Xenopus tropicalis: one gene and its partner. The protein of the gene in region 1 binds, or shares a complex with, the protein of each later gene. Links are inferred from orthologs where the notes say so. Each region holds a gene or a part of one and is shown on either strand. Other genes may lie near its edges.

The links.
Region 2: the proteins of lman1 (region 1) and mcfd2 are in contact, whole or in part, in a cryo-EM structure (PDB 8JP5), measured with the Homo sapiens proteins. The link is inferred for Xenopus tropicalis from reciprocal best matches to the Homo sapiens genes LMAN1 and MCFD2. Residues at the interface, in NP_005561.1 of Homo sapiens: His43, Arg44, Arg45, Phe46, Tyr48, Lys49, Ser51, Phe52, Lys53, Pro55, His56, Gln59, Ser60, Asp61, Val64, Pro65, Phe66, Trp67, Lys96, Phe265, Glu273, Lys279, Glu280, Ile281, Glu285, Lys286, Tyr289, Glu292, Phe293, Phe296; in NP_001164977.1 of Homo sapiens: Val59, Ile60, Asn61, Lys62, Gln70, Glu71, Leu74, His75, Phe77, Lys78, Tyr82, Asp83, Asn86, Asp89, Gly90, Leu91, Glu92, Thr95, Thr98, His99, Val100, Leu111, Glu114, Leu117, Ile118, Ile121, Asp122, Leu125, Asp129, Lys130.

What each region holds. Positions count from the first base shown.
Region 1 is NC_030677.2:201,343,956-201,359,179, forward strand, and holds the end of lman1 (protein ERGIC-53 precursor), read left to right. Parts: intron 1-738; coding exon 739-950; intron 951-1,891; coding exon 1,892-1,962; intron 1,963-5,762; coding exon 5,763-5,910; intron 5,911-6,829; coding exon 6,830-6,948; intron 6,949-7,460; coding exon 7,461-7,497; 3' UTR 7,498-10,418; downstream 10,419-15,224. UniProt on the Homo sapiens protein: Mannose-specific lectin. May recognize sugar residues of glycoproteins, glycolipids, or glycosylphosphatidyl inositol anchors and may be involved in the sorting or recycling of proteins, lipids, or both.
Region 2 is NC_030681.2:20,174,559-20,191,269, reverse strand, and holds the start of mcfd2 (multiple coagulation factor deficiency protein 2 precursor), read left to right. Parts: upstream 1-7,992; 5' UTR 7,993-8,066; intron 8,067-8,322; exon of another isoform or gene 8,323-8,337; coding exon of another isoform or gene 8,338-8,351; intron 8,352-13,288; coding exon of another isoform or gene 13,289-13,301; coding exon 13,302-13,459; intron 13,460-14,587; coding exon 14,588-14,744; intron 14,745-16,185; coding exon 16,186-16,317; 3' UTR 16,318-16,711. UniProt on the Homo sapiens protein: The MCFD2-LMAN1 complex forms a specific cargo receptor for the ER-to-Golgi transport of selected proteins. Plays a role in the secretion of coagulation factors.

The DNA of each region.
Region 1 (15,224 bases):
TTGTTTTAGTTTATTCATATGTTATTAATTGTGCATCTTTTACACTATGGCCCAAATATACATTTAGTATAAGCACCGGAAATCAACTTTGCGATTGTCTTCCTTTATTTATAGTTTTTGATTTATTAGCATTCCGCTTCTGCCTCATTTTAGCCGAATGATATGATATCTGGTGGTCAAGGGGTCGCTGACCCCATCAATCAAAAATCTTAACGTTTATTGGTAACAAAACAAATTTAACAAAAGCTGACATTTCTTAAGAAATAGAGTCATATTCCATTGTTGGAAGGAACCCTAATATTAATGGTAATTACCCTGGAAGTTAGGTCAGCGCTATGAATGCGGAGTTATAAACGAATAAAATAAATACTGTATATATTTGAGTATAAAGTTCTGTTACAAACTGTCCGTAAGCAATTCATTTCTGTAGTAAAGATGTTGTGCAGCCAACTGGTGTATACGGGATTAGCTAATGGGCTGATGATCATCGGCATACTAAGGGGCATATTTATTGTAGTGTGTAAGCCAATATCCACCGGTGATGTTGCCCATAGCAGCCAATCAAATCTTTGCTAACTTGTTCAAATCTAATTGCTGATTGGTTGCTATGGGCAACATTACCGGTGGATGTTGGCTTACACACTAAATATGCCCCTTAGTACACCAGTAACCGTAGGGGTACCAGGCAGTTGGCACACAGATGGCTGTACATTATAAAGTAATGGTTTCTCTGTGCAGTGGATGACATGTATGAGTCTGTAAACGACCGCGAGCTCCGACAAATCTTCGAGGGTCAGAACCGCATTCATCTAGAAATAAAGCAGCTCAACAGGCAGTTGGACATGATCCTCGACGAGCAGAGAAGATATGTGACAGCGGTCACCGATGAGATTGCCAAGAGAGGTGCCGGAGATGGAGCCGGAACAGGCGGCCCTGGTCATCAGCAACAGGTTGGGCAAGAGTTAAATGTCTCCAGTCATAGGGCAAGCTGGGTGGCCAGACTGTCATAAATGATCTGTTTATTTTACTGGGCGTCTTTAAGGTATTATCAAATAGGCCACCTAAACAATACCTTACTCAAGGGTAATCCTATTAATTGGCCTGGGGTTGTGATTCCTTAACAAAATGATCGCAACAGCAGAGGCAGTGAAGTTGCATGTATCCAATGAGCAAGCTTACTGCGCCCTCTGGATCTTGTGGCCTATAAGTCCCAGTATCCTTAGTGCAGGGGCAGGCAATTGGGCGCCTGTAACCTGTAAAAGTCAGTATTATAGATTCTGCTACAGTTCGTCCACAACCACCACTACATTTTCTTTACTCAACATATATTCCACTCATAGAGATTTGTTAACGTAGATGTTAAACTGGACCAGTGCAGTTCCACATAGAAACCAATCAGAAATTCATTTTGAGGAGTCTGTTACCAACTAGCTAGTTAAATCAAGGATCTGATTTGCTGCTGGGGACACTAATGCTACTTATCACCTATAGCTTGCCGAACACAGTAAGATCTGCCCATTTGGCAAGGTTATGGTCTGATTTGGCCTCCTACATTCTGGGGCAAATGGGCTAATCTGATATTTGCCCCTGGGCAAATGATTCGTTTTTCACAGAGGCCTATGCAGGCTTGTGGGGAGAGGACAGTATCAGTGTGCCAATAAGATTTTCAAGCCTGGCTTGTCTGAGAGGAAGTCGGGGAGGGCCCATAGAAGCTGCTAGCTTATTCTGAAGGGCCACATTTGCATCTTAATGCACATCAGCCACACAGTGTAGTTTTTCATATTCTGTCCTTTTTTTTTTAACTAAATGTGAAAAAATGGCTGCCTGATTACTGTTGCTCAGTCCCAGCGGTACTTGCACTAACTGCCACCTTTTGTCTTCCCCACTGAAGTTTGCACCTGCGGACCTGCAGTTCCTGCTCAGCACTCAGAGGGAAGTCTTACAGCAGATGGCGGATATGAGGTAACCAGAATACAGCAGTTTATATTTCTCTTATTCTCTGGGTAAACAATACAGTTTCTATATATGCATTGCTATTGGTCCGATGTCAGCCGAGGTAAAGGAATTTTGTGCTGCGGTTGTGTTGTTCTCTAGGGTAGTAGAATAAATCAGGGAGATGTAAGTCAATCTGCAATATGTGTTGCGGGGAAACAATTTGCAGTCAGCTGATGCCGTAAAGCTGGGAATTGAAAATGAACACCATAGGGAGTGATAGTGATAGGGAGCGCTCATTGTTTGGTATAAAGTGAGTCTACAGGGGGCATATGGCTCATCCATTCACAGTCACTGCAGCCCCAAGCTATTCCCACTGCACTTAATTACCCGGACGTTGCAGTTGCAGCGGTTGTGAGGGAATGGGGCGGGCTAGCCGGTGTGTCCATGCAACATCACTACTGATGTCGCAGAAAGGTTGCGATTAAAAAACCTGTGCGACTTGTTGTCCATCTCACTACCTAATGCATGGGCCGATGTCCAGGGAACTACGATTTTTATTAGTAACAGGGAAGCGCGGTGTGGAAAATGTTCACAGCAGTGATCATAAGCAACTGTCCTAGCCATCACACTCCATGTGGCTTCTCCCATAGGGCCACCTTGGTCTGAATTTTCATACTTTAGACTTTCATGGGGGTAATTTAAAAGGAACAAAAATATAAAAATGTATGTAGTATTTACACACAGACACTCGGGTGCTTAGCCCAGCCCATTTAATTAACCCTAACCATGCAAATCTGCCCCTTGGGATGTGGGTTCATGTGACCCCCTTATCCAGACATGCAGAAATCTTGTGCATGGGGGAAATCAGCAGAGTAGATCAGCGTAGGCATGCGGCCTGACCAATTAGATTAGCCGAAATTGGGCTCATGGTTATTCAAGGTCTTGAATGTAGACAAGTTCAAAGTTTAACCACTGTGTTACATCTACATATTATATAGTATCAGACGTGAGCAACCTGGTAACAGCCAAATATTGGGGAGGGTGCCCAGTAGGGATGCAACAAATCCAGGATTCGGTTTGGGATTCAGCCAAGATTCTGCCTTTTTCAGCAGGATTCAGATTCAGCCAAATCCATGCTGCTGGCCGAACTGAATCCCAAATCTTAAAATCAAGTGACTTTTGTCACATAAACATGGAAGTTGAAAATTTTTCGCTGCACAGCTCTCTTTAACCCTTCTGTATCCTAATTGTAAGCTCTTTTGGGCAGGGCCCTCTTTACCTCTTGTATCGGTTATTGATTGCTTTATATGTTACTCTATATGTCCAATGTATGAAACCCACTTATTGTACAGCGCTGCGGGATATGTTGGCGCTTTATAAATAAATGTTAATAATAATAATAGATTCATATAGAGTGTAAGCTCTTTTGGGCAGGGCTCTCTTCACCTCTTGTATCGGTTATTGATTGCTTTATATGTTACTCTATATGTCCAATGTATGAAACCCACTTATTGTACAGCGCTGCGGGATATGTTGGCGCTTTATAAATAAATGTTAATAATAATAATAATAATATATATATATATATTAGGATTTGGTTCCGTATTCAGCTGAATCCAAACATAATGCATTTGATGCATCCCTAGTGCCCAGGCCAGTTATACATTGTCTCATTACTGCACTCAATTTGTTGCCCTTAATTTGCTTTGCAGAATACTGAATATAAGCCAAATATTATACAGAAAGGTACATAATATACATTATATGCAATAGATGTACAGTTTGGGCACTCGCAGCTTCTGTATTGTGCCGTGGCCTATATAGGTCAGCTGTCTCCGAAAGATTATCTTTACTTTTGTTTCCCAGGGAATCCTTGGCATTAATATTCTTCACAAATCTTTATTCCTAAGGAAGCCAAATTAGATTTACCAGTTCAAGTCTCTCTTATTTAATATTGGTGATGCGCTTACACGACTCCCCTAATATGTTTCGGGCGGATTAAAGAAGTATTTGGGAGTGGCGCTTAGCAGGAAATTCCTAATGAGTCTTTGGGTTGCTCATATTTACATGTCCATCATCTTATTTTGCCCAGAAACAGCAGTCGTTTTCCTATTTTTTTTTTTTTTTTTTTTTTTTGCAGATTTATGGATTTTTGTCTTAATCTGATTACAGACTGGCCGGTCAGATATGTCAGTTAAGATTTAATAATCATTGATTATGTCTTCTATGCTTTGCTTAAAGATTTGGGATTTGGGAGAAATAGTAAAGTCTGTTGCCAATTTAAGTGCGGCTCTAGCTTTATTATCATTCCATTGTTCTTTTTGTTTTTTGTGAGATCAGAAGGGATTGCCTATACCTTAATACTGGGGAGGAAAATATCATCTGAAGGGCACTGAAACAACCGAGCAGCTTAGGGCAAGCAAAGGCATTCTTTTAGGGGGCTGCATTGGGGTGCTCTCCAAACAGGCAGTTATGGGGTGTTGGTTATGGACTTGTGTCTCTGCTTCCCCTGTCTAAAATCTGAGTGTCCAAAGCACTTGGAACAATGCACTCTTATGTTCTGTTAGGGTTGGGGGAACCCTAACCCTTGGTTTTTCTATGGCCTGTTCAGTTCTCTCCGGGACTGAAGTCCTAACAAACAAAGCCTCTAGGACCGCCAACCCCCCAGAGGTCAGTTATATAAATGGGACACCCCTATGTTTTGTTCTGGTTCATCAATGCGCGCTGTAAGTTTGCTGAAGTTTCTCTAGGTCCCCTGTCAGGATGCACCAGATCTGGTTTAGGATTTGGCCAAAGCTCAGATTTGACCCGACCCTTAGGGTTCACATTCAGTTTGACGGAACACGTATGGGCGTATTTATCAAATCTCCAAATAAACTTGCATTTAAAGGAGAAGGAAAGGTACAGGTACCTTCCCATTGCTCAATGTCTTTGGTGCTTCGGACACTTGCCTGCGCCGCCGATTTCCCAATGCTGCTGAAGTGTCAAGTACAAAAACTCCAGGGTTTATTTTTCATAGTGTCTTTTGCCAGAAGTAGAAAAGGGATTAAAATCCACATGATGATAAAGATTCTCGTTACAGACCTTAATCTTCTTTGCAAAGGGAAAATAAACCCCACTCGCAGGGACGACCACAGGACGAATGTTCCCAGCATATTGATTAAGGAGCACAGTTGATCCCTTATATGAGCACTTTACAGATCTCTGCAAAAGGCCCATGGCCTAAGGGTTTTAATTTGATTTTTTTTTATTGTAATGACAACAGCGAGGGCGCGTGTCCCGGCCGTACATATGGGAGATGAGTTTCTGTTATGTTCTATGTAATCTTGAACCTTAGCCCTAAATCTTTCCTTATCCTTAAGCCTCTTCATGTCTTGCAAAACTGTATTAATTTCTTTTGGAAAAAGCTCAGAATATCTGAACATGCCATTCATTCTGATGGAGAGGGCAAAATATGTCTGCAGGGAAGTGAATACAGGGCAGTCAGGGAGTTTGGGGCCAAATGGCTATATTGTTAGCAGTAGGAGCTCAGTGCTTGCTGGCTGAACCAGTGGTAGTAAAGGGCAAGTTTGCCAGTATTGTTGATAATGAATAATATAGATTGGAAGCTCTTTTGGGCTGGGCTCTCTTCACCTCTTGTATCGGTTATTGATTGCTTTATATGTTACTCTGTATTTCCAATGTATGTAACCCACTTATTGTACAGCGCTGCGGGATATGTTGGCACTTTATAAATAAATGTTAATAATAATAATATTTTAGGTTTTGTTGCCTTAGACTGTTCCTGATGGTCGGTATAATCCATTTATTATTTTGTTGCCATTTAGGAGCTCTATAAGCGAGACTGTGCGGCACGTTAGCGGAAATAAGCACCTAGGCACGGGGGGTTATGAGTCGACGCAGCACTTCAACGATATCAAGGAGCATCTCCACGTCGTAAAGAGGGACATTGAGCATCTGGTGCAGAAGAGCTTGGTAACGTTCGACACTCCGTCTGTCATTTCTAGTAGTATCTGTGTAGCCACGGGGGCAGCCATACAAGCTGGGAAAAAGGAGGAAAGGAACAGGTTACATAGCAGGTAGCACATTAACTCTGTAAAACACCATTATATTCTACAGAGTTTATCTGTTCGCTATTACGTAGGCATTTTGCCCTATGTCAGCTCGAATGGCTGCCCCCGTGGCTACACAGCAGCTTTGGTTATGTAAACTATAGTAGGATTTCTGAAGCAAACACATGGAGGGGAACAGCATATTATATTATAATTACTTTAATACATTAAAGTATTCAGTGGCCACACACTGTTCCAGATCGGCCCATGCTTCGCTATGTTGTCCCAGTCTGGATCAGATATCATAATCTGTGTCATGGCTGTGACATTTTTTTGTGAATATGTTGTAGCCATGACATTTTCAACAACTTTTTTTCCCACTAGATGTCTTGGGAATATGTCACTACATATTTTGGATTATGTCAGTACAGAGAATTTTTTTTTGCATATGTTCAGTGTCTTTTACAACTGAGAAGGCAGTGCAATTTGCTGTATTTTTGCATTTTGCACCCTGCCATCCTATTTACTTGAGTTGCCACAGGTCATTCTTGAGCACAAAGGCCTGCAACTGCCCCCATGAATACAGGGCTGCCTGTGGTTGGTAACATTGTATTCATGAAGGGAGGGAAGGAGGCACCATGTAGGTTGCCAGGCCCCCTAATTTGTGTTATTCAGATGTACAAGTTGACAATCAGCCACAACAGGCTCTTGTATATTATACCTGCCCTATGGTCTGTGCCATCACTGCTCTGATAAATCCAGTGCTAGGTGCAGAGCACAGCCAGGCCCTGGGCAGAAGTCCTCTCTGTACTAACGGGCACTTTTTGTTTTTTTTTCTCCAGCCACATGAGGTACAGAAGTGTCCAGAAGTGCCTCCATTTCCCTCCTGTTTAACCACAACCCACTTCTTTATATTTGTGGCTATACAGACAGTGTTATTCCTTGGCTACATTATGTACAGGTAAGTACATTTCACCTGAAAGCAAACCTCAAAAAACATATTTGAATTAAACTTTTAGTTAACTTTTCAATTGGTCTTCATTATTTGTTATCCTTTTTGAATTATTTGCCTCCTTCTTCCTTTGACTCTTCACAGCTTTCAAATGGAGATCATTGACCCCAGCAGCCAAAAAAGTATTACTCTTTGGGACTACAGTTTTATACATTTTCTGTTTAGATCCTCTCCTATAAATATATCCGTTTCTCATTCAAACCACTCCCTGGTTGCTAAGGTCATTTGGACCCTAGCAACCAGATAGCTGTTGAAACTCCAAACTCAAAAATGAACGACCCCTTCAGGGGTTCTGATGGGCAGGGCTAGGGGTCCCCTAGATGGCTGATACATGGTACCTGTAGGTGGATGAGGGGGCTTTCAGTGAATAGTGGGCTCTACGGCCAATGTATCCCCCCCCCCCAGGAACATGGCAGAGATATTTCCACTCGCTGACATTTCTATCCCTTTGTGTCTGGCAGGAGTCAGCAGGAAGCAGCCGCCAAGAAGTTCTTTTGATGACGCATTTGCGAGGTCTACGTCCGTCCGTCAGGATGCGCCAAGCGTACGTTTGTACACGAGGAACTTTTTTTTTTAGTAACGAGATGCTTCATTAGATTAAATTATTGAATTCTTGTGGAACAAAATGAACTTATTGTTTATTAGTCTCCGGCAATCGAAATTGGGCACAAAATGAAAACTTTTTTTTTTTTTTTAAACAAAACTTTTTAAACCCTTGTCCATTAAAGAGGCTCCATTTGTTTATTTTTATGAATTACCTGTGTAAAAATCTTCCTCAGGGCCACCAATTTATTTTTTTTTGTGGATTTTAAAGGGGAACTAAAGCTCTGAAACGCCTTTACTTCTATAGCTTAATTTATACCAGCTTCTATGCCACTTTGTATGAACAGCAACCCTATGCCAGCCACCCTCAGTATCAGCCAACAATATGTATAAACAATAATACCCTGCGGCCAAGGGCCTTGCCCCAGCTAAGTAACCAATAGGAGCAGTTATTTCAGGCAATTCAAGATCTGGGCATAGGGGTTTCTGTATAACCATAGGCCATTTTCCACTGACTAATGGGAAGCCCCATGAGTGGGCTTTTAGGGGAAGCTCACAGCTTCAGCCAATCAGAAGCCCCCCTTATGCTGTAATTCTACTCTACAAGCGTAATTTCCCTGTACTGATCTAGTTTAATTGAATAAAAAGTATTTTGCAGCTTAGAGAAGAAATGTTTTAGGGAAAAAATGTTATTTTTTATTATTAGTGCGGATAATTGGGGAAAGGATCAGAAATAAGCTTATGAGCATAGCTGTCCAACAGGGACGCAGGAGCAGCGACTTCCGGCTAAAGCGATACCGACACTTTAGGAAGGTGACACTGACGTCTTCCTGTAAAAAAAATAAATACTGTGGGAGGCGTCGCTGTCTGTTTAAATGTGGTGCAAATGTGAATCAGCCTCACCATCACAGTGGATCATTTTGTTGTGCAAAATAGGGATATTTGCCTCAAAGAGGTGATGCGAGAGAATGTTAGATGTAGGACAGACTGGCGCCACTTGGGCGACTGGCTGCCCCTTCCGGATGGTGACAATATTTGGAGGGCCCCCAGTTTCTCATCTGTGGCCCAAATAGAAACAAGACCACTACTGTCTTTATATATATATATATATATATATATATGATGTATGTATGATCGTTTCTACTCCTGAAATGCAATGTATCACCGTTTGTATGTGCATCGGCCTCCGCAGTCGTAATGTTGCCATAAACACCTTTGTGTTATATAAGCTGTGATCTTTTTTTAGTTTATCCTTAATATCTGATCATTCATATCTATGAGCCAAATTGTAACCTTGACTACGTTCCTGCTCAGCAGCCGCACTTTCCTTCCTGTCAATCATGTGACCTGCAGCAGTCTTTCCAACACTTGGATGTTGCTTTGTGGCAAAGAATCTCCCTCTCCATACCTTTGCTCAGAGTAGAAGGGACTGTACCAGAAACACTTCTTTAAGACCAAATAAAGTCACATCAGAGAGTGGAACAGGTAAAAGCTGCTTGATTTTATGAAATAGTTCAGCAAACAATATTATATTGATATCTCCGTCTGATGTTTAACTCCTTATGGTACTCAGTGTTGTTAAATTAGCCCTCATTATGTTTTGGGCCACTGAGCATGTGCAGTGCCACTGACACAAAGGAAGGCCACACAAGACTCAAGATGGGGAGCTCCAATGGACGGCTCTGAAGGCCTGGATCATTACAGTTTTAGGACTGTCTGCACCGTGGGCTGGTACAGTGAGGTCTGTTTATGGAATACAGTATTTCTAGCCAGAGTCATTATTAGGCTTTAGTTCTCCTTTAAGGAACACTGTTTTACCCGGATGTTCTGTTCTGTTACCAAAAGTGTTGTTATTGATGTTTGCTGCCTTAATTACACATTGTCCCATACCAGATGGTGCTTCTGTATTTTGTTTTCTGTAACGAGACCCCATTGGCTCATACAGTGCTTCGGTAAACACCATTTGGTCTAGAACCTTGTGGTTCCGTGACCTTATTACACGGGCCATTCTTTCCTCTCACGTTGCTACTTTTGTGCCACTTGTATAAACATTTACTGAGGATTTACCCGCTAACGGGGAAGCTCCTAATCTGATCTGCCCCGAATTAAAGGCAAAGCTCCTAATCTGATTTTGCCAGAATTAAAGGGAAAGTGTAATTAAATATTTGTATCTTTTTCTAAGTGCCTTATGAAGCTCCTCCTTATTTTACCCCTCGCGGCTTGAAGTCTAAAATGCTACTTGTACCAAAATGCCAATTCTCTGCTTGGTTTCTACAGCAGCCTGAGAGCTGCCCCTGTTCCCAACCGGAAGAACATACAGTTGTATCACTGGGCTCGGTTTCAATATGTGTGTCTTCTATTTGCCCTTCTACCACTGGGATGTGGGCAGGCCTTAACTGAATTAAGAAGAAAATGGGTGATGGTGACCTGACAGTCTAAAGCACAAACTCTGAGGGTACAGTGGCCTTTTACTGAGTCTCAGACTGCGCTGCCTCCCTACATATTGCAGCCAGCCAATCAAGGTGGGAGGAAGCTGTACTGGTACATAAGCACGGTCAGGCTGCAGGTGTTTTGTGACTTGCTGCCAGTATGGGTTGGGGGGTCTGGTACCCCTGGCCCCCACTGCAGCCATAGTTTACCCCCATTAGTTACACCACCCACATGTCAAACCAAAAAAATAATTTTTTGCCTAAAAAGAAAATATAATTCTAAGCAACTTTCCAGTATGAATATTTGTAAATGTAATTGCTATTGAAACTGTCTGTCTCCTCCGGCGAATCAAGTTTGTCTCCTCCGGCGAATCAAGTCTGTCTGTCTCCTCCGGCGAGTCAGGTCTGTCTGTCTCCTCCGGCGAGTCAGGTCTGTCTGTCTCCTCCGGCGAGTCAGGTCTGTCTGTCTGTCTCCTCCGGCGAGTCAGGTCTGTCTGTCTCCTCCGGCGAGTCAGGTCTGTCTGTCTGTCTCCTCCGGCGAGTCAGGTCTGTCTGTCTCCTCCGGCGAGTCAGGTCTGTCTGTCTCCTCCGGCGAGTCAGGTCTGTCTGTCTCCTCCGGCGAGTCAGGTCTGTCTGTCTCCTCCGGCGAGTCAGGTCTGTCTGTCTCCTCCGGCGAGTCAGGTCTGTCTGTCTCCTCCGGCGAGTCAGGTCCGCCTGTCTCCTCCGGCGAGTCAGGTCCGCCTGTCTCCTCCGGCGAGTCAGGTCCGCCTGTCTCCTCCGGCGAGTCAGGTCCGCCTGTCTCCTCCGGCGAGTCAGGTCCGCCTGTCTCCTCCGGCGAGTCAGGTCCGCCTGTCTCCTCCGGCGAGTCAGGTCCGCCTGTCTCCTCCGGCGAGTCAGGTCCGCCTGTCTCCTCCGGCGAGTCAGGTCCGCCTGTCTCCTCCGGCGAGTCAGGTCCGTCTTGTCTCCTCCGGCGAGTCAGGTCCGTCTTGTCTGTCTCCTCCGGCGAGTCAGGTCCGTCTTGTCTGTCTCCTCCGGCGAGTCAGGTCCGTCTTGTCTGTCTGTCTGTCGAGTCAGGTCTGTCTGTCTGTCTGTCGAGTCAGGTCTGTCTGTCTGTCTGTCGAGTCAGGTCTGTCTGTCTGTCTGTCGAGTCAGGTCTGTCTGTCTGTCGAGTCAGGTCTGTCTGTCTGTCTGTCTGTCGAGTCAGGTCTGTCTGTCTGTCTGTCTCTTCCAGCGAGGCAGGTCTGTCTGTCTGTCTCCTCCGGCGAGGGAGGTCTGTCTGTCTCTTCCAGCGAGGCAGGTCTGTCAGGCTGCTGCCTTGTGTTACATTATTTCATATGCCAGAGCCCCCAGGGCAGGGAATAGAAAGGACAGGCAGACACTGTGTTTAATAGCAATTATATATACAAATAAGTAAAAAAAAATATTGTAAAGTTGCTTAGAATTATGTTTTCTTTTATTAGGCAAAAAATTATATTTTTGGATTGACTTGTCCTTTTTAACATAGCATAGCTTTACTTACTAAATGTTTGTGCATCAGTTCTGCACCCTAAAGGTATAGACACATGGAGCTACTTAGTAGCAGCTTCTTGTCACGGCAACTAAGCGCCAGAAAATCCCTTGCCATAGACAATACTGAGAATTGCCTCTGGTAAACACACGTAGAGACAATTATCAGTAAATGATCAGCATTGTCTGTTTCTGTAGCCGTGACAAGTAGCTGCTACTAGTAGCTCTGTGTGTCTTTCCCCCAACCCTATGCTTCCATTTGCTCCTGTTTGTTTGCACCCTAATATACAGATATTGACATATGGCAACAACCCCTGTCAGTTAGTCATTCCCTTCATTTTGTCTGACTATCAGGTTCCTTTGCTGCCTCGTTACATTCATTTCCCACATCAAAATACTGGCAGTGGGACATGTTTGCACAGTTATTGCTGATACATTTTCTTGTTTATCTCCATCTCTGTATTTACTGTTTTACCGAAACGGCACGGTTCTGAGGAATGAATACTGTCATTTTTACATACAAATTACATAATTAAAATAATGCTGCTGAAAGCTTGGGGTTACGTCTCCTACAGAATGTCCTTTTGCGTTTGATTGTCAATAAAATCTGTTGTCCTTTGTCTCAGCTCTGAGTTACTCTCCCTTCTGTAATGGAAGGAAAGGGACGGCGCGTACACCCCTGTACAGATACATAGCACCCCCGGCTAATGTACACTCCGAGTTACTCTCTTACTATCCCTGATTCTATTGGAAGGAAAGGGACGGCGCTTACACCCATGTACAGATACATAGCACCCCCAGCTAATGTACACTCCGAGTTACTCTCTTACTATCCCTGATTCTAATCAGTATTGGAAGGAAAGGGACGGCGCTTACACCCCTGTACAGATACATAGCACCCCCAGCTAATGTACACTCCGAGTTACTCTCTTACTATCCCTGATTCTATTGGAAGGAAAGGGACAGCGCTTATACCCCTGTACAGATACATAGCACCCCCGGCTAATGTACACTCTGCGTTACTCTCTTACTATCCCTGATTCTATTGGAAGGAAAGGGACGGCGCTTATACCCCTGTACAGATACATAGCACCCCCGGCTAATGTACACTCTGTGTTACTCTCTTACTATCCCTGATTCTATTGGAAGGAAAGGGACGGCGCTTACACCCATGTACAGATACATAGCACCCCCGGCTAATGTACACTCTGCGTTACTCTCTTACTATCCCTGATTCTATTGGAAGGAAAGGGACGGCGCTTATACCCCTGTACAGATACATAGCACCCCCGGCTAATGTACACTCTGTGTTACTCTCTTACTATCCCTGATTCTATTGGAAGGAAAGGGACGGCGCTTACACCCATGCACAGATACATAGCACCCCCGGCTAATGTACACTCTGTGTTACTCTCTTACTATCCCAGATTCTATTGGAAGGAAAGGGACGGCGCTTACACCCCTGTACAGATACATAGCACCCCCAGCTAATGTACACACACTTTTCTAGAATATAGAAGAATCTAATGAGAAAAGAACTTCTATTGGCCGGTTTCGCTGTGCTGCCATGGAAATGTAGAATTTGGTGACCCATTGTGGTGCTTTTATTGTCTGTAAATACTTCCCATAGCAAGGCATGGCCACTGGCTCCAATGCTCTCTATAAGGGGTCAAATAACACTTGGTTGATCTTCTGCTGATATACCCACCTATGGGTGGGCGCTATCGGGCTAATTCAATTGTTTGCCCCTAGGGCATAGGCGCTGCCGGTTTGGGAGCGACATCAAACCTGCCTCATTGAGATCTGGTCGATTTTAGGTCCGATAATTTTAGGCCAGATATCAGTCGGGCAGGCCCCTCGTTTCTGCCCATACAGGGGCCGATAGTAGCTGCCGATATTGGTCACTTGGACCGATTCGGCAGCTTATCGGCCCGTGTAGGGGCAGAAACGAGGGGCCTGCCTGACTAATATCTGGCCTTAGTTTACATGTCCGTGATCTAAAATATAATAAATGAGGCTTCAAGCTACAACAGTAACTGATCTGTATAGTGTGGGCATCTCAAGATATACATCAATGTGAAGCTTATTGTACAGCAGTGGCTCAGGGCAACATGTTGCTCCCCAACCCCTTGGATGTTGCTCCTAGGGGCCTCAAAGCAGGGGCTTATTTTTGAATTCCTGGCTTGAAGGCAAGTTTCAGAGGCATAAAAACCAGGTGTACTGCCAAACCAGAGCCTTCTATAGGCTGCAGTCTACAAACCAAATAGCCAATCACATCCCATATTTGGTAAGCTTGTGTTTCTCTTCGACTTTTGTTACATTTAAATGTGGCCCATGGGTAAATAAGGTCGGGGACCTCTGTTCTATAGAGATCAGTTGAGGCTGTAGCTTGAAGTCTAATATAATAAGGCTGCATATGGAAAGTCTTTTTAAGCTGATCTGCTCTATGGGTTTATAGATCTTATGAACAACTTGGTTCATGTTTGACCTTGTGTAGGCAGTCATAGTTCTAGATCCACTGAAGGGTTGAATGGACAGTTGCCCTGATCAGTTGTATAACTGTGGCTATCCCAATCAAGTCTTTATATCATGGGGTACTTAAGGAAGGCTTTAAGTGTCCCAGCCACCCAGGGGCAGACTGGGCTGACGGCACTGGGGGAAAAAAACGCCAGCGGTTCTCACAAGCCCAGACCCGATCTCAACCAGCTCTCCTTAAGGCTACGGATCTCAACACACTGAAGGTAAGAATAAAGTAGGCACGCTTGGCGGTGGGGGTTAGGTGGGTGGCAGGGACCATTTGGGGGGGCCCTGTGGGCCCTGCATCACCCAGTCCAACCCTGCAGTCACCTCTCTCTAGTTACCTCTAAAGAAATGGCACTTTTGCCTTTGAGGAATGAGGATTCCTATCAAACTCCTGTCAAAGTTTTCCAAGAACTAAAAATTGTTCTTCAGAAGGAGGTCACAGCATCTGGTTTGGAGTGTAGTTTATTTTGTCTGCTCTTTAGGGTATTTCTAATTTGCACGTGAGATTCCTTGGGAGATTCCTGGGATCTAGAACAGGGATCTTCAACCATTTGTACTTGTGAGCTGGATTTCAGCATATAAAAATGGTATTTATTCCTACTTTTTGAAGGAACAGATTACAGAGATAGGTTTTTGAGTTGTGTGGGGCTCTTTAACATATTCTGGTTCCCCTCCATGAGAAATCTGTGAGTATGTTGAGATGTGAGCATCCCGAGGGCAGACTTATCAGTCAGTCGTCCCTATGTTACTGTATAACTGAGATGTCACGTGTTGGCCTTGGATCCTCGCTGCACCATTCCGTTGCCTGGGCCTCCGAGGAAAGTTCTTTTCTCTGACATGATCGCTGGTAATCTAGGATTACTGGATACCCTCAACCCCCTGGGAACAGAGAGTAATTTAATTAGAAGGCTGCTAATGCAAATGGTGGAATTAACCTCTTCTGACTAAAAATAGAGCAGTAATTTTCCCAGAAAGAGATCTGTGATTAACCTGATTGGAATGTGTTCCCAACATGGAGCGCTTTAGTCTCCGATACACAGAATGGTTCTGTGTGCAGTCAGTGAGTATAGCCATTTAAAGAAGGGGTCTATGGCAAATATCTCTGTATTCGGAAATGTTATCATGCCGTCGTCTTGATTCGACCCCCTTTGTAGTATCCTGGAGATTATCTGTGACTCAAATGTCAAATATCAATTACTCAAAATACCATAACTTCCTGGTTTT
Region 2 (16,711 bases), on another chromosome or scaffold:
TATAGGAGGCTCTGTTTGGCAGTACAACTGGTTTTTTATGTAACCAAGACTTGCCTCCAAGCCAAGAATTCAAAAATAAGAACCTGTTTTGAGGCCACTGGGAGCAACATCCAATGGTTTGGGGAGCAGCATGTTGCTCAGAGCCACTGGTTGGGGATCACTGCTCTGGTTAAATATTTAGTATGGCTGAAGTTCTGTGAAGAACATAGGGTCTACCCTCCTAAGGAACTAGCAAACTTTTCTTGGTACAGTTTTGTCAAAATTTTTACCAGCTGCGAATAGAAAAAGCCAGGGTTTTTTGAGCTGAGAACATCAGGAAAAAACAAACACCCCAAAAAATGTGGGTTTTTTTGCGCTGAAAAAAAATGCAGGTAAACATTCAGAAAAAAACACCAATGGCATTATTAGAATATCTCCGTATTTTTATTTTTTTTTTTTGCTAGAAAACAATCACAGGTGTTTTTGCACTGGGAAAAACTGTTGAAAAAATGCCCACCAACTCCAGTGCATTTGGCAAAACTTTGGCAAAAGAAAAGCAGGCCAGTTTTGCTCATCACTAATCCTCCGCACGGAATGTTCTCTTTAATTCATTGGCATGTGCTAAGGCTATAGGATTTTGGGGGTCAATAAACAAATATAAAGGGAGAGGTGGCCAAGTTCCAAAGAAAAAGATGCCCAATGCTAATTACATTACTCTTTTCCAGGACAGGCCACTGGGAGCAGTACTGGGGCAGATTCCTGTGGAACACACACCTCAGCTCACTTTCCTGGTGCAATTTCCTCTCTAGGTCATTCCCTGTTTTCTGATGTTTTAATCAAACTCCTTGTAAATCCAGACTCCCTTCTAGACAAATGAGCCCTATTGTCAGGCCCCTGCAGCCCAGCAGCGGCACTCCTTTCTCACGATATTAAATTATTGCAGGTAAAACCAAGGACTTATCAGTTTACCAGAGCCCGGGACCTTTTAAAGTCCTCCTAATCCGTGCACTGAGTGGGAATGTTGGTATTTTAGCTCTGAGCCTCTGCTTTAAATGACAAATTTGAAACAACTCATTTTCCCTAATGTTTATGTAGAGCTGTGTTTGTCTGTGAAAATATTTGCTTTTCAGTACAAAAGCTTCGAGCAGTGGGTTCCATGAATCAGGTGCTCGAATTACAATCATTACAATGCCATTGTGGAGCCTCTCAGCGGGTATCTGAAAAGGACACATCATGCTTAATAAAGCCTTGGCCATTGCTTGAATAATATTCTGGCTGGGCCTCGTCTCCATGCAAGTCAAGTGTTTAGCGGAGAACTGAGTGTTTGCAAACCTGGATACTTGACTCAGATATCTGCAATATGTTTTGTGCAACTGGATAAAAGGCAGAATGGCAGTACATTTGCTTTTTTCATAAATTCATGAATTCCAGTCCAATCCTATTTTTTTGCATTTTGCTCCCTTCCTTCTAGGTTAAATGAATTGCTGTGGTTTTCTGCAATCCCTTCTGGTGCTCAGTCATCTGTGACCATCCCAACCTGTGCTTGGCAGTAAGTGGGTGGGGGGGAAGGCATGTAGGTGTCCATCATTCCTATCATGAAACGCAAATTAGAAAGCGGCGGTGGACATAGCGCCCGTGTAGTCTACAGTAAATGACCCTCATGCGGGTGCGTACCATAGGGTAAATTACCCTTTATGGTTTCAGCATGACCCTTCAAGACCAGATACATATTATGATGAATGACTAAAAGAACAGAAAGAACACTTAAAATGAACAATACTGGACCAGAGACCCAAGGGCTCACCAGATGATTTAACCTCTAGGGTCCCACTGGCACCAACCACCCCTACTCCCCCTGCTATCGCTGCCACAGACCACCGCTCCCTATTACTGACCACCCCTCCTCTCCTTGCTGCTGCCACAGACCACCCCTTGCCTCTAGGGCCTGGCGCTCACCTACCTGGCCCTCCTTCCACCCACACGCCCATGGCACCCTCTCCCAGCTACTCCTAGTAAGAGGGGACTTCTTAGACCTATAGAGGAAGCAGAACCAATGGTCCAGGCCACCCTGTGCCCCGGGCTCCCCCCTCCTCTATAGTTATGCCATTGCCAGCAGGATTTTTTCTGGTGCCCCAGTGGGTCGGTCCAACACTGCTAATGTACATTTAGGATATAGAATACAGGGCACAATTGTGCATGTTATACAATCCTAATCATATTCGAGTGGAGCAAACACCACTAATTGGGTTGGCAGTCTGAGCATTCTAAAGCTGGCCATACACGCACCGATAATATCGTACGAAACCTCGTTTCGTGCGATATTCGGTGCGTGTATGGCATGTCGGTGAGTCGACCGGTATCACAGGAAGCTGCTGAAATCGGTCGACTCGCCGATCGGCCAGGTTAGAAAATTTTGATTGGGCACCATAGAAGGCGCCTGACCAAAATCTGCCGTCGGCTGAATCAGCAGAAGGAGGTAGAAATCCTATTGTTTCTACCTCCTTATCTGCTGTTTCAGCCCTGAACGGTGTGTGGCGGATCTGACGATGTTTGGTGCGACCAATGGGTATCCTTCTGTTGGGCAGTTGGAGCTACAATAAATCAGAGTTTAAACCTACTTGAGAAAATCACAAGCGGGTTAAGCAGGATCACTAGAGTAGTCATGCCGACAATCAATATTGCTAATAATGCTATCATTATGTTATTTTCATGAATCTTGGTTTTCCAGACATTTTAAATCCACTTGAGACATTTTTTGAGCAATTTCAAAGGGAAAAAGTCATATTTGAAAATATCAATCTACATACCTAGATAGTGATCGGGCCGGATGAAATATCAAGTGATGGCTACATTGATGCATTTTTCCAGAAGGGTTTGCACAGGCCCCCCATTTGGTTATCTGGCAACATTGCCAGACTGCTGAATCAACTACCCATGTATTACCAGATTAAGATTGTCTATGCCAATATAATGACAGCATTCTGCGTAGAAATTTATAACGATGTTTTAGTCCCTCCTCCCCTGCCAGGATTTTAAACTATACAGAAAGAGATGAACTGTTTTGCAGCTGGATTTCAGCATATAAAATGGTATTTATTCATACTTTTTGAAGAAGCAGATTACAGTGATAGGAATATTAGGGGTTTCTGTGTTGCTCTTTAACAAATTTTGATTTGGAAGCTGGAGTTTCCCTTCAAATCAATTTTCCTATACTATGGAATCACACATGAATTACTTCAGCCAAATTCCATGTTTTTCTTTACAGAACAGTTTTAATGTCATCCGATAACAAAGGTTGTGTTTGTTTTGTATCTCTCAGTTTTAAAGGGTCACGGTGAATTAATAATTAGCCGCTCCGGGTTTACAACATTGTGTTCTACGGGTCACACAAACACACTCATCAGTCCTGCTCTTATTTGGTGGTGGTTTCCTTAGATATCTGTAGATATATGGGCAGATGAATTATAAAATAAAAGAAATGGAAATTCCTATTATAGGTACAATGATTTTCTCGGACTGGAACAAGGCAGTGGACAAGGGCTTATCCCTCCTGTCCTATGTTCTATGCAACAGACCTTCAGTTCACAGTGGGGTCCGAAGGAGAGGGGGCCTGGACCAGTTAGTACATGCACCCCTCCCCCTCTGCCCACACTGACTATCCTACCAGCACCCATGCATCATGACCCAATGCAGCTGGGGGCCCTGAAAAACACCTTAAACCACTATTTATAAACACAGATCAGGGGAATATATTTACATATATGTATGAAGAGGAGCTGCAATACTGATTGCTTTGCAAAGGAATTCTTCATAGATTTCCAGCGATTCTGCCATCACACAATTATTAACACAAAGGCCAATACTCAAGCATAAATAGCATTTCCTGTCACATTATAGAATCATCTTCCACTGTTATACATTCAGTACTTGAGTTTTTCAGCTGACACCCTTATTTATACCCCCAATGGGGGCAAATCAAGGGACATAGTCAATGTGTAATGGGGTCTTGAATTTAAGCATGTTATGGGGCAAGTACCACACAAACTTAGTTCCTAGTACAACATAGTTTGATTTATTTGTAGACATTGATCATCAATGTGTATTTAGAATCCTTGCCATAAAGCAGTGATCCCCAACCAGTGGCTCGGGGGCAACATGTTGCTCACCAACCCTTTTGATGTTGCTCCCAGTGGCCTCAAAGTAGGTGCCATTTTTAAATCTTTGGCTTGGAGGCAATTTTTGGAATCCCAGAGACACAGTTTTACCCCAAGCAGAGCCTCCTACAGGCTAGCAGTCCTCATTGGACAACCAAATAGCCAATCACAGCCCTTATTTGGCATTACCAAATAACTCTTTTTATGCTTATGTGGCTCCCTGCATGTGGATCACAAGTAAAAAAAAAGGTTGGCGATCCCTGCCATAAAGCAAGACAGGACTTCTAGTTTTTTCACATGAGTACCAGTAATCAGATTTAGGGTAAAAAAATGTGATTATTTAGGCAAATATCAACACTTTCTATTTCAACAACTATAACCCTTTCACTAAACTGTAATCTTTTTTTTTTTAAGGGGAATGTATCATTCTATGGAGGCTTATCGGATGACCTCTGTAATATGGTAGCTTTCAATCAGGTGTAAATGTAAACATAAAACTAATTCATCTATAACCTTTAAATGTTTCCAGTAGGAGAAGTCGATTCTGTATGGACTACGAGAAAACCTTTAGGAGCTGCCCTGCTATAGAGACTTCCATTAAGAGTGAGTACGTGAAGATTAAAGACAAAGGTCTGGCTGAGACAGATCAAAGCTGCAGGATTGTTGGGCAAATGCCAAGGCTCAGTTCGTTTGTTCATATTCATTTGTCTAAATGTTTCTGGACTGTGTCTTGGGTCAACTCAAGAACCCTTGTTGGTAGGACGCCATCTGTATTCCTACTATACAAAGACATCAAAAGGCTGCGCTCTATAAACTGAGCAGACGGATATCAGACATTTTGCCTTCTCAGTACGTCCTGTTACAGATGGATCATTCTGTGTTCCAATAACCAGCACTTGAAGTCCGTGTGTTTATTTTAAGTAACAAACTAAAAGGGAAACTACACCCCAAAAAAAGAAATGATGTCCAATGAAAGTAAATATAATTCTAAGCAACTTTCCAATATATATTCAGTACAAAGGTTCAGTGTTTTTTAAAGTTATTTGTAAACGTGATAGCTATTGAAAGTAGTGCCAGTTTATTCCTTTCTTTATTCTGGTTCTAACTAAAGTCATAAAGACATAATCCAGACCCACAACCCGGACCCACAATGCACATTTTTGCCCACTTTGACCCCTGAGCCGCAACTGCCAACCCATTCCACAACCCACTGACCACCATCAAACAGAAAGTTTTAAAAAAATGTAGAAGTAGAATATAGATAATATAGGAGGTTTAAAACATAAATATGGAAAAGATCCATGACCCACATCTATACCCGAAACTGAAAATCCAACCATGCTTTTCTTGTGGGTAACCCGTGGGTACCCCCCCTGCTGCAGGCCTTTAGTTCTAACTCTAGAAACAGTATACTGGAGTCCATTCACCTCCAGGTATGTTAGTAACAAAGGTGTTTGTAAAGTTATTGTTATTGAATTGCATTCTCTACACTCATCGCTCCTCAAACAATGTAGCAAGAAATCAGCTAATTAACAGACGTGGGGGTGAACTGACTCCCGTTACAGTCAGGCCCAGAGAAAAGAAAGGGACAGATAGATTCTGATTCCAGTAGCAATTACATTTACAACCACTGAAAATGCCTAAGGATCGGATAGAAGTAAGTTGCTTAGAATGACTTTTTCTTTCGTTATGCAGAAAAAAATATGGGTAAGGAGAAGCCTTTATTTGATTTTTGAGAGATGTTTATATTACTGCACATACCGACGGTGGAAAGCAGCGGCAGCCTCTGAATGGACAATGGTGACATCATACTGAACAGGGACACCCCCAAACCCTGGTGTGGTTCCTGCCACAGTAGTCACTGCTCTTAGTTTTTTAGCATTCTCTGGAACTCAGAGGTGATGTCTAATATACCCATTAAAGTGTAAAATTTTAAATGGACAAAATTAAAAAAATTTCAATATAGTTAATTAAGCAAAAATGTAATCTATAAAGGCTGGAGTGGGCATATGTCTAACATAATAGCCAGAACTCTACTGCCTCCTTTACAGCTCTCTAAGCTGTTAGCAGTCAGTAGCCAATCAGTGATTTTAGGGGGGGCACACGGGACATAACTGCTCAGTTAGTTTGCATTTGAATCTGACCTGCACGCTCACAAACTAACTGAACAGTTATGTCCCATGTGGCCCCCCCTAAAGTCACTGACTAACAAGAGGTTAGAGAGCTGTAAAGGAGGAAGTAGTGTTCTGGCCATTATGTTAGACATATGCCCATTCCAACCTTTATAGATTACATTTTTGCCTAACTAACTATATTGCAAACATTTTTCATTTTGTGCAGTCTGTCCAATTTAGCCAGTTTCATTTTTACACTGAACTGTTCCTTTATATGTTACACAGAATAGTTATGTTACAATGGCCCAGTCACACAACCTCCCTAAGCACTGATTATTACTTACGACATCACTGAGCGCTGTTCATAAGGATATATTTTAGTCTGTTCATAAGGATATATTTTTAGTCCCAACACTTGCATACCCCCCAACTGTCCCGCTTTTCACGGGACAGTCCCGCTTTTTATGGCGCATCCCGCTGTCCCGGATAGTTCCATGAATGTCCCGCATTGCGGGACATACATGGAACTATCCGGCACAGCGGGATGCTCTTGCTGGAGCCGGATGTTCATGCTTCTTCTGCGGCTTCGTTATGCCTCTCCTTGTGCAGCGCGACAGGCCCTTTTATAAGGTTGCGCCTGTGGGTGTGACGTCATTACGCATGGGGCGCAACCTTATAAAAGGGCCTGTCGCGCTGCACAAGGAGAGGCATAACGAAGCCGCAGACGAAGGCGTAGCGCCTATGGGAGGTACTGTGTATGGGGGGATACTGTGTATAGGGGGCACTGTGTATGGGGGACACTGTGTATGTATTGGGGGGTACTGTGTATTAGGGGCTACTGTGTATAGGGGCACTGTGTATTGGGGGCTACTGTGTATAGGGGGCACTGTGTATGGGGGCTACTGTGTATGGGGGGCTACTGTGTATGGGGGGCTACTGTGTATGGGGGGCTACTGTGTATTGGGGCACTGTGTATTGGGGGCTACTGTGTATGGGGGGGGCAAAACTGGTACTTAGTTATAACTCACTTATAACTGACTGCCTTCTCTCTATATTTGTATTTTAATGTAGGAGTTGCTGTATTGTTTTCCTTAGGTCGTTCAGTATGAGGGTATAGCACATTATTGTCTGCTCCCGCCATTTGATGTATAAAAGGAGTATTTTTTTTAATGGGGTGTGGTAATTGGGGCGTGGCCACAAAAGGGGGCGTGGCCAAAAGTTATACACTATACTAGTAGCATATACTGCAGCTGATATATACTAGTATTTTTACTAGTATTTGCTACATATACTAACTCTATAACTGCCAAGCACCACACGATACATATATGTAGACAGTAAATATCCCCCCCTCCTATGCCCCTTAACATGTGCCAGTCTGTTACTATTTGCAGTTTGTTAGTGCAGACTATAAATAGAAAAGACATCTAAATACATAAAATAAAGGGCTTTATCTACAGTATGTAAGTGTGCTTGTTAAGCCATGGCGAGGCTTTCTTATTTACACCCTGAAGATGAAATAACGTGAAAGATGGAAACACTGACATATCTATTATTGTACAGTGCCACTCAGCATTAGATTCCAGGCTGCGCAGGCGCACACACTCAAGCATACACTGAAGGCATTAACGATAGAGCGCCGAGTGACAACTCTTTGCCAGGTAAACGTTTATCGCTCACTCCAACTCTGTTCTCCATTGGTTCGGCCTGCAGAGTGGGCCACGGCTTGAAAGAACGCTAAGAGGGGCGGGGCTTGTATTGGAGCCGGCTGAGCTGTATACTTCGGAGGAGCTGAGTGAGCAGGAGAGCGGCTGGGACGGTGAGTGAGAGTGGGGCATATCGTTATGTATACACTGCTGGCTCTGTCTGTGCTCAGTCAGACCCACCAGCATTTGTAATCGATTCTTTCTGCACTTAGGGACTTCCTTCTCCCATAAGCCTTTGCAGCGTGTCCTGGCAAACTACAATTCCCAAACAGCTTGATAGGGGATTCTGGGAGATGTATTACAGTGTTCTATTGGGGTTACTATAAACCTTTGTCCCTTGTGCTGCTCCAGAGTCTTTTGGGGAATGCTGGGAACTCTGTTCCTATGTGCAACAACCGGTATGTAGAACTGTCAATGAGTTGGGGGGGGGTGAAGAGTAAATGACTATAATCCTTGGGGGGGGGGGGGGGAGTAAATGACTATAATCCTTGGGGGGTGAAGAGTAAATGACTATAATCCTTGGGGGGAGGAGTAAATGACTATAATCCTTGGGGGGTGAAGAGTAAATGACTATAATCCTTCGGGGGTGAAGAGTAAAGGACTATAATCCTTGGGGGGTGAAGAGTACATCACTATAATCCTTGGGGGGTGAAGAGTAAATCACTATAATCCTTGGGGGGTGAAGAGTAAATCACTATAATCCTTGGGGGGTGAAGAGTAAATCACTATAATCCTTGGGGGGTGAAGAGTAAATCACTATAATCCTTGGGGGGTGAAGAGTAAATCACTATAATCCTTGGGGGGGGGGAGAGTAAATCACTATAATCCTTGGGGGGGGGGAGAGTAAATCACTATAATCCTTGGGGGGGGGGAGAGTAAATCACTATAATCCTTGGGGGGGGGAGAGTAAATCACTATAATCCTTGGGGGGAGAGTAAATCACTATAATCCTTGGGGGGGGGGGTGGAGTAAATCACTATAATCCTTGGGGGGGGGGGGGGGTGGAGTAAATCACTATAATCCTTGGGGGGGGGTGGAGTAAATCACTATAATCCTTGGGGGGGGGGTGGAGTAAATCACTATAATCCTTGGGGGGGGGTGGAGTAAATCACTATAATCCTTGGGGGGGGGTGGAGTAAATCACTATAATCCTTGGGGGGGGGGAGAGTAAATTACTATAATCCTTGGGGGGTGGGAGAGTAAATTACTATAATCCTTGGGGGGGGGAGAGTAAATCACTCTAATCCTTGGGGGGGGGGGGGGAAGAATAAATCCCTATAATCCTTGGGGGGGGGGGGGGAGAGTAAATTACTATAATCCTTGGGGGGTGAAGAGTAAATTACTATAATCTCTCAGTGTTTTCTTTTTATGCTTTCAAATCTCCCCAGAGACATGAAGTTGTGTCCATGCACAGTCTCTCTCCTGCTCTGTAGTGTGCCTGGGGGGTGGAGCTCCCAGTGGCCAATAACAAATGAGCTTCCACCCCTGAAACCCTTCATGTATTTCATTATAAATATACAATCTGTTGACTCCAGAGACCTAAAACTTCCAGCGACAAAATTGCCCTAAACGCTGGGACTTACCGCTACGGTCAGTTTTGTGCTATGACCAATGCATCGTGACTGTTTCATGAGTCGTATGCTGCCCGGCTATGAGTTTGATATTTAGCACTATTTTGGCTACATGTATAAACATATATTTTCTCTTTGGTGATAGTTGTTATCCTTATACTGTAATTAGCCTGGCTCATGTGTGTTTGTGGGGTTACGCCTCTCCTCGAGGCACAGTACGTCGGCGTGTGTGGCAATAACAAATTTGACTCCATTTTGTTCCTCCTTTACTTTGCCTGTGCATGCACACTGAGGAGCTATATACTCCTATATCTGCACTCTGTGTCTCTGCACTTTAGTGCCAAATTCTAGTCTGGCCCAGCACTGTAGGGTAACTTGTTAGCTCAAACAAACAACTTAACAGATGACTTCAAGAATGGGTGTCGTTCATGTAACAATAGCAATATTCAATACTTACCAGGGATCTCCACCCAAAAACTTTTACCCAATGAAAGAAAATATTATTCTAAGCAGCACTTTGCAACGTAAAGTAATCTCTGTATATTCCTTTCTGAGCTCCGGTTCCGACTCCTGAGGCAATGTAACTGGATTCTTCTCCAGGTCTGTTAATCAAGCTGGCTTCTCATACATTGTTTTAAAGCAGTGAACCCCAACCAGTGGCTCGGGGGCACCATGTTGCTCACCAACCCCTTGGGTGTTGCTCTCAGTGCCCCCAAACCAGGGAGTTATTTTTAAATTCCTGACTTGGGGGCAAGTTTTGGTTGAATAAAAACAAGATTTCCTACCAAATAAAGCCCCTGTAAGCTGATAGTGTGCATAGAGGCTGCCTAATAGCCAATCACAGCCCTTATTTGGCTCCTCCATGAACTTTTATGGTGCTTGTGTTGCTCCCCAAGTCTTTTTACATTTGACTGTGGCTCACGAGTAAGAAAGGTTGGGGATCCCTGTTTTAAAGGAATACTGTCATGGGAAAACATGTTTTTTTTTCAAAACCCCTCAGTTAATAAAGCTTCTCCAGTAGCCGATCAGCAGAACAATGGGAAGGGAGCAAGATAGCAGCTCCCAGTAGGTATCAGAATAGCACTCAATAGTAAGAAATCCAAGTCCGGCTTGGGACTCCTCCAGTTACATGGGAGTAGGAGAAACAATAGGTTAGCTGAAAGCAGTTCTAATTGGCAGAAATGGGCTCCCCTGCTTTAAACAAAAAGTTTGTTGAAGAATTACATTTTGACACATTGGCCTAGGTTGCTCTCTGCACTGAGATTTTATATCTGCGTTTTTGTATTTATGTACGTAGCAATGCCATCATGGTATTCACACCCAAAAACTGCATTGTAACATGAAACACTGGGAACACTGGTAGAATACTTGGGATTTACAGAGCAATAATGTGCACAAAGAACCCCCTGCAGTCTGTAATTACGCACACAGTAGTACAATTATTGCTTTCTAAATCCATAACTGGCTATTGTATTGTAAGGTTACAAAGTATACACTGCTGTTAGTATTTTTTACTATAACTGTGAATTGAATGTAGAAATCGGGGAGGGTATACCCCAACGGCAGGTAGTTACAACCAGATCTTCCCCTTGCTGGATAACACATTATGTCTGCTAATGAGTTGGGAATCATTAGCTAAAACAAATTTAGCAGCTTATTCTGTAGCTGGCGCTGGCGCTTCCCCAATGCAAATGTTTATTGTTTGACTCTAAGGTTAAGCTATGTTTTACACAGCTTGTGTAACCTGCCATATGACTTGTCTAGTTACCCCCAGGTGATTGCAGCACAGACTGGCATTGTAAGATGACTGTAGTAATAATAATAAATTGGCTGATTACATCTGCCCTCTGCCCCTGCACGTCTACTTGAACTGTAACTCTAAGGAGAGTTTCTGGGACTTGTAGTTCAATGACTATCAGCTGGAACAAGTTTCCATTGCTATTGAAAGCGACCTGTGTCTGTTTATATTTTCTGCACTATTAGTTCTCGCTCATGAAAAAATGTAGCAGAAGGCAACTGACTAGTATATCTGGAGGAGCAATGACTTAGCAACTGCTATAGCAACTATCAGAGTGAGCGAACAGAAAGGGATGATTGGGCAGCGCGTTTGGTGTTTGTACTGAGTGACACACTCACAGTCAGTGAATCCACAGATACAGTTCTAATTATAACTCTCTGTTCTAGTAACAATTTCTATATCTGATATTTAAAGGGGAAGTTTCCTCTTAAGTTTAGTATGTCAGCTAGACTTCTTTCTTGTTTTTTTTACTTATCAGCCCTCCTATTCTCCCTCTTTCCATACTGCAGATTCTATCTAGGTCACTGACCCAGCAGCAATAAGTAAATAAATAACTGTTCAACTTTATTTTTGTTGTTTTTCTTATTTTCATAATCTTTCTCTCCTTTCCATATTCATTTCTGACTTCCATGCTACTGCCTGGTTGTTAGAGTAATTAACAGGGCTGTGGAGTCGGAATTCCGACTCTCTGACTTGAGCTCCTTAGATTATGGCACCTCCGTTTCCAACTCCAGGTACCCAAAATTGCTTCCAACTCATAAATCCTACCCAACAGCCTTGGCAGGGCTACGGAGTCCATACATAAATCCTTTGACTCCGATTCCTCTGTTTATGGTACCTCCGATGCCCCAGCTCTGGTAATTAAGCCCTAGCAAGCAGACCGCATTTAACCTTTTATGCATCACTCAATTAGTATGAGTGTTGCCTAAACAAGTAAAAAAAAAAAAGAAGACTAACATCTATATGTGATAAACGTATTCCCATGTGCAGTGCCCATAGAAACCAATAACATCAGCTTTTAAACAGTACCCCAGTAAATGTTACCATGTGATTTGTGGTTCTTACAGATGATTTTACAATTTACACTTTTTCCCATTTTAATATATTAGCAGTTTTACACTACTGATACCTTTATTCTGACATTACAAAGGGGGCGTGCCAAGCATGAGTATCAGTAAGCATCTCAACGTCAGTAGTTGTGCTGGGGTGGGGGGTCAAGGTGGGACTGGCAGTGAATACATTCTACCACCTGCCCATGCTTCTTGGGGCAATTGGTCAAACTGAACCTGCCCAACCCATGGGTAAACTCAAGCATAAGTAGTACATATTATGCCCTTCTATATTGTTGTATGTGTTCTGAGGATGGCAGCTCTGGTTACTATCAGGCCTGGACTGGCATTCAAAATAGGTCCTGGCATTTCAAGTACACAGAGGCCCAAATAGCCCCCCCAGCCCAATAAATAGTGACTGTCTATGGCATCGTACAGCAGCCCCTCTGGCATTTGCCAGAACCCACAGATTGCCCGTCTGGACCTGGTTACGATAGTTATGAACATTCAGCAACTGGAATGTCATCCAATCATAAGCCCAGCTTATCCAAAAACGAGACCTGCGCAATTTCTCTTTACACCATTTTTCTGTAGGGCCTTTTTTATTAGCAGCTTTAGGAGATTTGCTCATCTGAGCATCAATGGCCGCTCCCATTCATTTAAGTCAACACGAATATATAAAGTGATCATAAACATTCTTGGGTTCGATTTCAGGGTACTGTGAGTGTGGTTTGTAGGATCTTCTTGTGCACATTTTTAATGATGATAAAAAAACAATTCCTTTACATTATTAAACATTGTTTTAAGATTATTGAAGGTGACAGAGTGAGTCAGCAACAGTGGTGAAGGGTGGGCATTGCCTACTGAGGTCTTTGTAGTAACTGTGCTGATTGTTGTTGTACTTGTCTTTATTACAGAAGCCTGAGCACCATGGCTGCCCAGAGAGCCAGTACGTCATCTCTTCTATGCTGCCTGGTTGTGTCTGCCTTGTTATTCATGTCAGCAGTAGCTGAGGACCATGTACACCCCCATGTAGAAGAGGGGAACCATGGGGCTCGCTTTGGAAAGAGCGTAGTGCAAGACAAAGAGTAAGTATCGCTCTACTAAACATTTAGGAAGGTTCATGGATCATATATCTTCCCCTGCAAACAGAATGCCCACGGGCTGCTTACATATTGTATTATAGCACTGACATACTTGTAGCTGAACTACAACTAGTTTGCTAGTAGTGATCGCTTCAGTAATCCAATGCAATGCAAAGGGCTTTCCAACGGTGACTTCTGTTGTTGCCGGTGGAAAGCCTTTTTGGATTGATTACTCGCCCACGATAGCAGAGATCTGTCGCGGGCAAGTAAGTCACTCCGTGGGTTCTTATCCTAAAGATAGCGAATGGGGTATTATATTTATAATATATTATGTTTTATTATATTTAGATTGTAAGCTCTATGGGGCAGGGACCTCCATCCTCTTGTCTCTTTGATTCTTAACTTATTGCGAATGTACCTTGTATTTATTGTTATACTTTTTATTTATCTATTATTATTTTATTAACCCCCTGTTTGTATTAATCTATTCTACTGTACAGCGCTGCGTACATAAGTAGTGCTTTATAAATAAAGATATACATACATACATGTAGTAATATGAAGAGAGATTGTCCCAGCTCACAGTAGGGTTAAAGTATTAGCACTGCTGCATTCACCCTATTATAGTTAATAGGGAAAACAGATAACTATTATTTTCCAAATCCCATGGCTTTCGGGGTGGTTCCCTTTATTGGCTTCTTTATGTCCTTCTAGTGCAGGGCTTTCCAACTGGTGTCCTACCACCATTAATGGGAGGTCTTAAATGCTATTGTGATAACATGGGTGTGGTTTGAAGTGGGTGCAGTTTTTAAAAAAAGGGGAGTGGTCAAAACTGGTTCAATTATCAACCCTCCACCATGTAGGCCAGAAAAATTCCGGCCCTCAATACCACAGAAGTTGGACAGCACTGTTCTAGTGGATGGGGCCCTCAACAGCCTGGGGCCTTGGCTGCTGCAAAAAGTGGAGCAGTTTTGTAGAGGTTTGGTGCAGGTTAGAGTGCAGAGGGGGCATGATCGGGTGGGTAGATGGTGTGCCACAATTTTTGAAGACAACCCTATTTCTTGGCAGTGTTTGTTTAGCTGCTTTTGAGACTGCTTCATTTGATTCTCTGTACTCTTCTGCACTCTGCAGCCACATCATGGACCATTTAGATGGAGTCATTGAGAAACCAGAGGCAGAAATGTCACCCCAAGAGCTGCAGCTTCATTACTTCAAGATGCACGACTATGATGGCAATAACCTACTGGATGGGCTGGAGTTGGCAACTGCAATTTCCCATGTACATAAGGTGAGTATGCCGTAACGCTCTAATGGCATTATACATTAGATATTCTGGCTGAGCCATTAGGAAAGATTACTTTTCTGTTCTTTAAAATTTAAATCTAAAAACCAAAGATGCCATCTGTGTTACTGAATTATACAATATATATTCATTTGTGTTTTTGTGGTCATTGCTTTAAAGGAGAAGGAAAGGTATGATACTGGGGGTGCCAAAAAGTTAGGTACTCCCCATTGATTGTAACCACTTACCTGATGGTGCACCTGTTAGCAGAAAACCGCTCCGGTCTGGGTTACCTGTGAGCGAGCGATCCTCTTCCACTTATGCATGTTCCATAGCATGAAAAGCCAAACCTTTTCTTCTCTTATTAGTGCCAATAAAAAGAAATCTGATATACACTCTATGGGCAAACTGTGCCTAGAAGCAAAGTCAGTACAAGAACTATTTGGGACATAGGGAGTTTGGAGTTTAATGGTTGACTTTCCAAGAAAGGCAGCACTGGCATTCTTCCCTTCTGTCCATTCATGAACCTTATGTCACTGCCTAGCAGCCAATAAGATAAGCCCTTCTAAGTGAGGGGATGTGGTCTGAGTATTCTCAGTAGCAAAGAACACCAGCACTGATCAAACAGGAAGCTCATATCCACTGAGATATCAGCCAGAGATTTACAAATGGTGAATATACCCTTTAAGGCTACAACATACAATGGCACTGGTGACAATTCCATTCTGTCACAAAGCAAGGTGGTACAGAATGGGTTTGCTGAGATGGCTGACCTCAGCCCAACTGAACCCCAGTTTAAAGGAACTGGATTGCCAGCTGTGAGCAAGACCTGATTGGTGGAAGCAAACCCTACCAAAAATGTTCCAACATCTAATGGAAGCCTTCACAGAAGAGTAGAGGCTGTTATTGCAGCAAAGTGAGGAACAGCTTCATATTAATATCTTTGGTTTGGAAATAAGATGTTGGTCAGGCAGGTGTCTTTTGGCTTGTATTTTTGGTTTTAATAGGCACTACTTGGTTTATTTATTCAGTACAATTAAGTGCCTCTCTGTCTATTTGTTGAGTGTACCAGGAGATTTAAAGCTTGGGTGTTTATCTGGTGACTGTGTCACATTACTCTACCGTAGGTAATTCTGGGCTTAGATATCTAATGAATCTGAGCTCCTTAAACCCTTTTTCCTGCTTGTAGGTTTCTCACTAATATCCTTCCTGGGTACCTGTAGGTTCTCCTAAATGTTTCGGTTACACATTTCTGTTTCTCTTTTGGATACTTGGATGCTAGAGGGTTTATCCCTCAAGTCTAAAACTACATTTCAGCTTCCTGTAATACTTTGATGAGTGCTTCATTGTCGGCTTTAACACTGAAATCCATAACAGTTATGTGAATACATTGCCCCAAAGCCCAGCCCTTAATATAACATCACTAATAATACACTGTGTTTTTCAGTCTACCGAAGAACCAACTCAGGCGATGAAGGAGGAAGATCTAATCAGTTTAATCGACGACGTTTTAAGGGATGATGATAAAAATAATGATGGCTATATTGACTATGCTGAGTTTGCCAGATCACTGGAATAGAAACTGTGAATTTCGCTTTTTGTTTTTGTATCAAATGTGAGTTTGTCCGTACCACTGCTGTCCATATGGGCTTCAGTCATTTAGATGTGTCGGCATTCAGCATCTACTGTATATGTTTAATGTATGTTTGTTTGCTGAATGCCAAGTGACAAGGTAAATGTTTATTTTTGTGTTATATTTTGTGATATTTATGTATAATGCCATGCAAGTCCCCCCAACCCCTCCCACCTGGCTCCTATAGGGCCTGCTTGGCACCTCATTATTTTTTAAACATTTTTCCCTTCCATTGGGGCTATAGGCATAAACTTCAAATCCAAAATACAATACCTAAAAGGAACTATATATATTTATTTTAAATGCTCAATTCATAGCCATTATTAGTGTAATAGCTTTA